Linked DNA regions of Caenorhabditis elegans. The protein of the gene in region 1 purifies or fractionates together with the protein of each later gene. This does not show direct contact. Each region holds a gene or a part of one and is shown on either strand. Other genes may lie near its edges.

Region 1 (5,701 bases):
TGCTAGATTCGGAATCCAAGAGAATCCGTCCGCAAGGAGGCCGTGTTGCATGAATACTATTGGACGTTTTGAGCTTCTGTCACATTTTTCTGAAAAATATTAGAGATGATATCAAAGGTAATTCACAGCAAAATTCAATGTATATTAAATTATTCAAAAACTTCTTTTTTTTGTTGACAGTTTGGAAATTTACCAATACTGGAACAAAGAGAAATCTGAAATTATTCATTTTGTTTAATCGGCCATGTTAAAAATCAATGAGAAAACTTGTACAAAATCTCTACTGCCGATACTTCATTTTGAAGTTTCCGTTTACGAAATAAATTTAATTTTCAAATGTCACATTTTTAACTAAAATGACAGACTTACCATTTTGTTTACATGGGATTCTGTGAAGTTCCAGAATATACTCATCCGTTGTTCTCACTAAATGTACTTCTGATTCATACCCAAAGTGTTTTCCTATTTCTGGCTACAAAAAAATTTGTTCTGAGATTAATAAAATAATTTTTCTCAAAATCTTACCACAGTCATGTAACATTCATCGTCAATAGCTAGACTTAAATTTATAGAAAATGAGAGTAAAATCAAAAATAAATCGATTTTTGACATGAATCAAAAAACCTTGGGAGGAGAGGTTATATGGCAGAGCAACAGGATGAGTGTTGGGTCACACCTGTTGTAACAATTACCACCTTGGACATGTCAATAACATATGTTGGGGTCAAGGATTAGGTACTTTTCAATTACAAGTGAAGTATTTTTAATAGATTAAAACACCAAATGAACAAATTTCGCGTTTTCTATTTTAAAATTCATCTTCAATCTAGATATTGTAAATGTACATGTAAAACTATTCACATTTTAGGTTTTTTAAAATGGCATTTAGGTTTTAATATTTATGACGATAGCTACAGTAACCCTTGCTTGGCACACTCCCTCATACTTATATTTCACGTGGTGTCAGGTTGTAACGGTTTGATCTCCAAGAAATGCGGGAATTTTTTCCCCAAAAAAATGTGACGTCAGCACGTTCTTAACCATTCAAAATCAGTTGAGAACTCTACGTCTAAACTCCCGCATTTTTTGTAGATCACAACGAAATGGGACATTCTGACACCACGTGATATTTGAGTACTCAAGTTAACAATGAACAATTATTTTATGCTAAGTTTTATGTGGTACTTGTTTAAATTAATGACTGAAAATAGTGAATCATAAAATTGCACTCTATGCTGTAACTTTTTTGGGATTTAAAATTTTTAGGACAAAATATAATAAGTTCGATTTTTGCATCTCTTTTTATTATAACAATTTAATTAAAAATACTAGCATTTTTCTTTCCAGAAATCCCGATTATTCGTTTCTACACATTATCAGAATTTCTAGACCACTTCTAGACCTACAAACTTCGGTAGATCAAATATGGAAGAATTGATCTTGACCCAATTTGCGACAGCGCGTGGTTTCTGATTTCCTTTCTCTGCATATCTCGCCGGAGGCGAGAACGCTCATTCGGGTTCTTTTACTTACTTAACCCCAATTTTTATTTTCTTTATTTTCCGCATTTCTTTAACAGATTTTCGTAACTTTTTTTCTCAATAAATTCCCTATTAAGAGCATATTTTCTTTCCCCACGCACAATAAGTTAGCTCATATTTTAAATACCGATATCGATACTTTCTCGAGATTCCACCTTGGCGCCAAAAAGTTTCAAACGCGGGGCCTAGAAAACACAATGGCCGCGAAAGTTTTCATCATTTTTTTTGTGAGAAATCAGAGAGCGCTCGAGAGCGCCGCTGTTTTAGTCGGTAAACATTCTTTTTTGTGCGCAACGATCGAGAATTGTCACTGTTTTCATATACTGGTATATTTTGTAGTCATTGGATCTCCATTTTAATGAAAATTTCCTTCAGAACATCTGCGTCTCACTAGAAAGTTAGTGTTTCCGTTGTGATGAAACGCGTGTTGGGTTTTTTGGACATTGTCTTTTCATACTTTCAACGCAGAAGAAAGCGGTGTCTTTTTCCACGATTTTATATGTCCAAGAAAAACATTTTTAGGCCTGTCTTTTCAGTTCTTTATTTATTCAAAGTACAGAAACGAAGATGAAAACGTTAACGTTGCGCTGCCCGGTGTTCTTTAGAATGACATTTTTTGCCAACACTTTGCAATTTTTGCCTGAATTTTGAGTTGTTTTCTCGGCCAGTCTCCTGTTTTATGCAGTGGTACCATTAGTAAATAATAGATAAGAAAATGGTGGTGCGTTGAGATGATAATGATACTAGTTGATAACGATAAGGTGTATGTCTCTCCCTGTGTGAAACGGCCGACGATTCACTATTTTCTTCGAGAATGTTCTTTGCCGTTCTTATTCTGAAAATTTTAACATTCTCCCAAAAATCCATTATTTTTGCAGGAGAATGACCGTTTCGGAGCAACTTCGCAATGATTTGGAAGACGCTGCCAACCGCATGCGTATTTCCTCGATCGAGATGACTTGCGCAAGCAAAAGTGGACATCCCACGTCTTCTACGTCTGCTGGTAAGAATTATTCAACATTTACTCGAATCCGATAAATTTCAACATTTTCAGCCGAGATTATGTCAACTCTGTTCTTCTCGGAGATGAAGTACGATGTCGCAGAGCCAAAATCAGCATCTGCCGATCGTTTTGTTCTCTCCAAGGGACACGCTTGCCCAATTCTCTACGCTGCGTGGGAAGAGGCCGGTCTTCTGAGCCATGAGCAAGTGCTCTCTCTCCGCAAAATCGACTCGGACATCGAAGGACACCCCACTCCTCGCTTGAACTTCATCGATGTTGCTACAGGATCTCTCGGACAAGGACTTGGAGTTGCCACTGGCATGGCTTACGTCGGAAAGTACATTGACAAAGCCAGCTACCGCGTCTTCTGCCTTCTCGGAGATGGTGAATCTGCTGAAGGATCTGTCTGGGAAGCTGCTGCTTTTGCTTCAATCTACAAGCTCGACAATCTCGTTGCTATTGTCGATGTCAACAGACTGGGACAAAGTCAAGCCACTTCTCTTGGACATGACGTAGAGACCTACAAAGCTCGCTTTGCCGCTTTCGGATTCAATGCCATTATTGTCAACGGACACAATGTTGATGAGCTCTTGGCCGCATATGAGACTGCTCGTTCCACCAAGGGAAAGCCAACCGCCATCATCGCCAAGACTTTGAAGGGAAAAGGAATCGAAGGAATTGAAAACGAGGACAATTGGCATGGAAAGCCAGTCCCAGAGGGAACAGTAAGTTTGACGTGAGAATGAAATAGTCTCATATTAAAAATTTCAGGTCAATGCCATCAAGGCTAGATTCCACGGAAGCCAAAAGGGAAAGCTCGTTGCTCAAAAGCCAATCAATGACGCCCCTGCTATTGATCTCCATGTTGGATCCATCAAAATGGCTGCCCCAGAATACAAGAAGGGAGACAAGGTCGCCACAAGAGCCGCTTACGGAACTGCACTTGCTAAGCTTGGAGATGCTAGTCCACGTGTCATTGGTCTTGATGGAGATACCAAGAACTCTACTTTCTCTGACAAACTTCTTAAGAAGCACCCAGATCAATTCATTGAGTGCTTCATTGCCGAACAGAATCTTGTCGGTGTAGCTGTGGGAGCGCAATGCCGTGACCGCACAATTCCATTCACCAGCACATTCGCTGCATTCTTCACCCGAGCCACTGATCAGATCCGTATGGCCGCTGTTTCATTTGCTAATCTCAAATGCGTTGGATCTCACGTCGGAGTCTCAATTGGAGAAGATGGACCAAGTCAAATGGCTCTCGAAGATCTTGCAATTTTCCGTACTATCCCAGGAGCAACTGTTTTCTACCCAACCGACGCCGTGTCTGCTGAAAGAGCAACAGAGTTGGCTGCCAACACAAAAGGAGTTGTTTTCATTCGTACCGGCCGCCCCGCACTTCCAGTTCTCTACGACAATGAAGAGCCATTCCACATTGGACAAGCCAAGGTTGTGAAGCAGTCAGCCCAAGATAAAATTGTTCTTGTCGGATCGGGAGTCACTTTGTACGAGTCATTGAAGGCCGCTGAGGAGTTGGAGAAAGAAGGTTTGTTTTTTTTGTTACGTTTTACTTTTTAAAGTTTTATTTTCAAAAAGAAACTGTATTTGAAACTAAAAATTATGTTTTCAGGAATTCACGCCACTGTTATCGATCCATTCACCATCAAGCCACTGGATGGAAAGACCATCGCCGAGCACGCTCTGAAAGTTGGAGGACGAGTTGTTACTACCGAAGACCACTACGCAGCTGGAGGAATAGGAGAAGCTGTTTCCGCTGCTCTCGCTGATTATCCAACGATTCGTGTCAGATCATTGAATGTCAAGGAAGTTCCACGCTCCGGACCACCAGATGCTCTCGTGGACATGTACGGAATCTCTGCTCGTCACATCGTTGCCGCCGTCAAGAACTTCCAATAATGTATTTTTAATGCCTCGTATTATAGTATTATATAGCTTTCCTTTATGTTTACTTGAAATGGTTGTGAATTTACAGCAAAATGAAACAATTTAAAAAAAGGTGCATCGCAGTTTGTATAAGCTTCTCGCACGCGTCTAGACAATAAGAAGGCCGTTTCGCGGGCATTGGATGTTTTGTGGCGAGGCGATGACGGGGATCGAAACCTGTTCGGTACCCGAATTGATACACTTCTCATCTACATCTTCTTGTCGTTTCTGAGAATAAGCGATACAGAAGATGAACACTCACGGCTTCTTAGTCTTTTTCCTCTTTCCGCTCCTCACTTTTTCATTTTCCTTTCAATTTCATGATTTCTCTTTTTAGGAACTGATCAATATTTCTGATATGAGGATTTCTCTTTTTTAGACGGTTCTTTCAAATAAAGACCAAAGTTTTCAATTTTTATATTTATATAACGTTACTAGCAGTATGCAAACATGAAATGAGTTTTTATTTATTTTTCCAGTTATGAGAGTTCTACTATTATTTGGATTCTGTGTACCATGGCTTTCATCGGGACAAGAAATCACTCGGGATTATTCTCCACTTCTTGATGTAAGCTTATCAAATTTATTATCTGTTCGGCAGATCTTTATCGATTTGATTGGAAAACAATGGTTGTGGCATTTCATATTTTGAAACATTTAAATTTTTTGGACAGACCCTTTTTTCACATACCACGATTATACCTGCTTATTTCTCCAGGCTCATTTCAAAATTGAAAGAATGAAACGCGAAGTTTTGCTTTATCTACAAAAAAAATAATACGGTATACGATATTTGCGAAATGCGAAGAGTGCCCTTTGAAGATTACTGTACTTTTAAAAAAATTATCGCAAGATCTCGTTATTGATAGTTTTTGAAATTTGGCAGCAAAGTAACAAATTTTAATGAAACAAAAAACTGCATTTGACACCATAGAAACAATGTTGCATATATCAATTTAATATGACATCTCAGTGACTTCAGTGAAACACTTGTTTTACCGTAGTCCAAATGAAATTAAAAATCTAATCTTTCATAAAATCTTCATCAACATATTCATTTTTTTTATAGAAAAACACCTCAGCTGTCAACCCGGGTATCTACCTTCGAATCATGCCAAACGGGTTAGCTTACTTGAGAGAAGTTGGAATGAAAGTGATCAATGAGCAGATTCTTAAATTACAACTGCCAAATATTAGAGAACCGATTGAAAAT
Region 2 (3,722 bases), on another chromosome or scaffold:
TTTCGGCGAAATTCGAATAGAACATTTTTTGGAAGAATTGCGAGCTCGTTGCGAGCACTTGCTTGCCAACATGGACATGTTTTCCTTCAAGCACCAGCACAACATCGGTAAGATGTTCCTTGGGTTGATCGAAAGTCTCGATAATCCTCTCATGAATTCCGGCAATCTTGTTGACAGTAATTTGGACTTCAAGAACGGCATGCTTATCGAGCACAAATCGATTATCGTAGCAGATGGCTTCCTCCCAATTTTTAAAATTGTTGACCACCACAATCTTGTTCAAGTCGTCGAACTTTTGCTGAAACTCCATCGAAAACGCGTCATCATCCTCGTTTGAATTGAGTCTCAGAAGTGAAAAACGAATTGACGCATCGCAGGACCACAAGTTGCTGCGCAGTTCCTCGTTGCATTTCAGGTGAATTCCGAGATGTTTAGCATTGTTCGTAGCGTCGGAAGTGCTTGTGAATGCTCCAAGAATCCTTAAAAGATAATATTTTAAATAATTTAGAACATTTTTTGTTTCATTAAAATTCACTAACCATTCTACGTGTCCAATTTGCACTGGTTTGTGCTCCGTCGCCTTCGCCAAGCCAGAAAAATTTTGAATCTCAAAACGAATTGATCCTTTATTGTCTTTTCCAGACATTTTATCTTGTGATAAATTTAATTTGAACAATGAAGAAGAATTTGAAACAAACAATTTAAGCTGAGCAATGCTCTCACCTACAGTACACTAAATGGCTTCGAGACCAGTCAAAATTTATAAAGTTTATTGGTCTATTTCTAGGACTTTCACATTAACCATTTTTAGCACATCACGATGTATTTTGTGCAGATTTTATTTTGTCCTTGTACGAAAAGATTATTTTTTAGCGGATAAGCAAAGCTAATCTTGACGAACCGCTTCGCAGATACCCGTCACATGCAGAGCTTCATATTTAGCTCAATCGATCTCGAAAGCATTCAACAAAATGAAAAACTGTTGGATTAATTTGTGATCTATTTAGCAATTTAAAATGTTCTCAATGTTTCTCAATGTTAAATCATCTCGATATTTCTCCTTCTTTTCGTGAAGACCGTGGTGATGATCGAACTGATATCAATGACCGGTTTTTCAATGTAATCTTTTATTGCCTACAAAAATTGTTATCAATTTCGGCGCCGTTCTGTTGTTTTGTGTACGATCATTTGAAAACACAGGCGCACGGTGAAAGTGTTGACAAAAGGCGGGAAACACAGCGAAAGTGTCGTCAGATATGGCGCATGTCGTATGATTGGGTGTCGGGTACGCAGACACTTTTGCGGACTTTGTTGTTTACGTCGGAAAATTCTAGAAGCGAACGGCTCATTTCTTCTCTCTTTCGTCGCCTAATTTGTTGATTTTGTCAGAATTTTTATAGTTTCGCTTATTAAAATGAATTAAAATCAATTGAAAATTATTTAAGAACTTTTTTGATGTGCAACTGTCGTTTAATCCTTGTTGAATCACGTCTTTCGGCAGATTTTAGGCCCAACAGGAAAATTAATTTAGTTGGGCCTAAAATTTTCTGTTTTAGTGCGCTAATTCACTCCATTTCAGTATATAGCTCATCCGTGTGCTTCTTCCTTGTATCTTATGGTGCTTTGTTTATATTTTTAACTTTGATTGATTCCCGCTCTATTACCGCAGAGCGTGTTTGCCGCACCTCTGTAGATATACCTATCTCATACATATTTCTCAACTATAACTCAAGCATTTTAGTGATTACCCTACCTGAAAATGAGCCGCCCAAGAGTCTTCTTCGACATCACCATCGCCGGAAAACCAACCGGACGTATCGTTATGGAGGTAAACAAAACACTGATCTTTTTTCATGAAATTAAATCTTATTTTCAGCTCTACAACGATATTGTTCCAAAAACCGCTGAGAACTTCCGTGCTCTTTGCACTGGTGAGAAGGGAGTCGGAAAGTCCGGAAAGCCACTCCACTTCAAGGGATCCAAGTTCCATCGTATCATCCCAGAATTCATGATCCAGGGAGGAGACTTCACCCGCGGGAACGGAACTGGAGGAGAATCCATCTACGGAGAGAAGTTCCCAGACGAGAACTTCAAGGAGAAGCACACCGGACCAGGAGTCCTTTCCATGGTAAGTTATGTTGCCTAGCCAGATTGAAAGACAGCATAAACTGATAGAAAAGAAGCATTATCTAGTTTCTTAACTGTTATCCACTGGCTGATAAGTTTCATTGTTTTTCTTCAGGCTAACGCTGGACCAAACACCAACGGATCTCAATTCTTCCTCTGCACCGTCAAGACTGCCTGGCTCGACGGAAAGCACGTCGTTTTCGGACGTGTCGTCGAAGGATTGGACATCGTCAGCAAGGTCGAGGGCAACGGAAGCAGCTCCGGAACTCCAAAGTCCGAGTGCCTCATCGCCGACTGCGGACAGCTCTAAATTTGTTCTCCGTGAGAACTTTTCTTCTTTTCAATCACCCCATCCAACCCTGTTTATTGCTTCACTTTTTCATCTTGATCATCAATAAATTGCTCGAAAAGAATATAGTTGTTCAGTTACATGGGTCGTACTCGAGGAAGCCTTCGTGAATTGTTCTCAACAGCTTGGAGAGAACTGTAACATTGTAGAAGCGATTGAAAGCGTCGATTTCCGTCATTTTGTTCCAATCTCTGCGCATTCTATCCTGAATTTCAGACAACCGTTCGAACTCTGTTGACTCGTGAAGAGTAAACACATAAAATGGAATTGTTAGAGGAAAAGCTGTAAATTGTGCAAATATTCAGATTTCGAGCATAAAATGTAGGCATTGTTGCCAGCTCTTCACATTCTTTTGGTTATTCTCACTTGTCAGATTCCTAGAAATGTTTCCCGAGATTCTTAATAATGAAAAACTTCGATTGGAGAACATTAAGAAGATCTATGAATCGAGCAAGTCTGGTTATGAATCGGCCAAACAGTTGTATGAGCAGCAGGTCAACAATCCGGAAGTTTCGGATGAGCAAAAGTCGGAGAATTTGGAGAAATTGAAGGAGTCTCGTGGTGATTTGGACAACTTGCAGAAGAAAATCGTCGAGCTTCAGGCGAAGATTGAGAACTTGGTTAGTTGAATACCTTTTTAATAAAGCTCCAGTAGTCTCTCCATTTTCAGAGCAAACTCGGCGGGCAACAAGGAAATCCATTCAAGAAGTTGTTCTAATTTTTGATATTTTCTTAAATGAACTTTCTTCCAGTTACAAGAGTATTACAGGCGCTAATATTTATTTACAATTGTGGCAAGCTATTTCAGAAAATAATGTGCGGGTTAGTAGGTTTGGGTTGTACACAAGAATGATTTTAGTCCTCGTCGGAGCTCTCTTCCGAATCCTCTTCGGAATCCGAGTCATCATCTCTCCGAGCGCCGATCCCTTTTATCTTTCCGACGAGCTTTTTGATGAGAGATGGCTTGTTCTTCTCTTCGTATTCTTCCAGATTATCGTGAAGCTGAAAATTGGAACATTTATTGTGAGAAGGCTTTTTGAAAACATACTTGAGATCTGAAATCGACGATCTCTTCAGCCGAAAAGTTCGCGACAATGAACTCTCTGATAGCAGGCTCTCCGAATTTGCACATCTTCAGCACGTGCTCCTCCTCATCCGAAAAATCACCGTAATCATCATAAATTTGCAAGTATTTCTGGAAATTCTCAATTATTAGGGCATTCAACCCCAGAACCCTACCATTCCA

Evidence for each region. The genes of interacting proteins can lie anywhere in the genome.
Region 2: the proteins of tkt-1 (region 1) and cyn-7 fractionate together in Caenorhabditis elegans (co-fractionation; one large-scale study listed by BioGRID). This does not show direct contact.

The regions. Positions count from the first base shown.
Region 1 is NC_003282.8:10,241,193-10,246,893, forward strand, and holds tkt-1 (transketolase), read left to right. Parts: upstream 1-2,419; 5' UTR 2,420-2,423; coding exon 2,424-2,544; intron 2,545-2,595; coding exon 2,596-3,269; intron 3,270-3,315; coding exon 3,316-4,090; intron 4,091-4,174; coding exon 4,175-4,461; 3' UTR 4,462-4,515; downstream 4,516-5,701. Other genes in the region: lipl-7 (Lipase), read right to left, coding at 1-89, 370-472, 526-612; F01G10.10 (BPI2 domain-containing protein), read left to right, coding at 4,970-5,056, 5,558-5,701.
Region 2 is NC_003283.11:15,185,398-15,189,119, reverse strand, and holds cyn-7 (Peptidyl-prolyl cis-trans isomerase 7), read left to right. Parts: upstream 1-1,741; 5' UTR 1,742-1,759; coding exon 1,760-1,828; intron 1,829-1,876; coding exon 1,877-2,128; intron 2,129-2,242; coding exon 2,243-2,437; 3' UTR 2,438-2,538; downstream 2,539-3,722. Other genes in the region: bath-36 (BTB and MATH domain-containing protein 36), read right to left, coding at 1-479, 540-646; Y75B12B.3 (Transposase), read left to right, coding at 2,860-3,096, 3,147-3,194; Y75B12B.1 (Mos1 transposase HTH domain-containing protein), read right to left, coding at 3,712-3,722. UniProt on the Caenorhabditis elegans protein: PPIases accelerate the folding of proteins. It catalyzes the cis-trans isomerization of proline imidic peptide bonds in oligopeptides.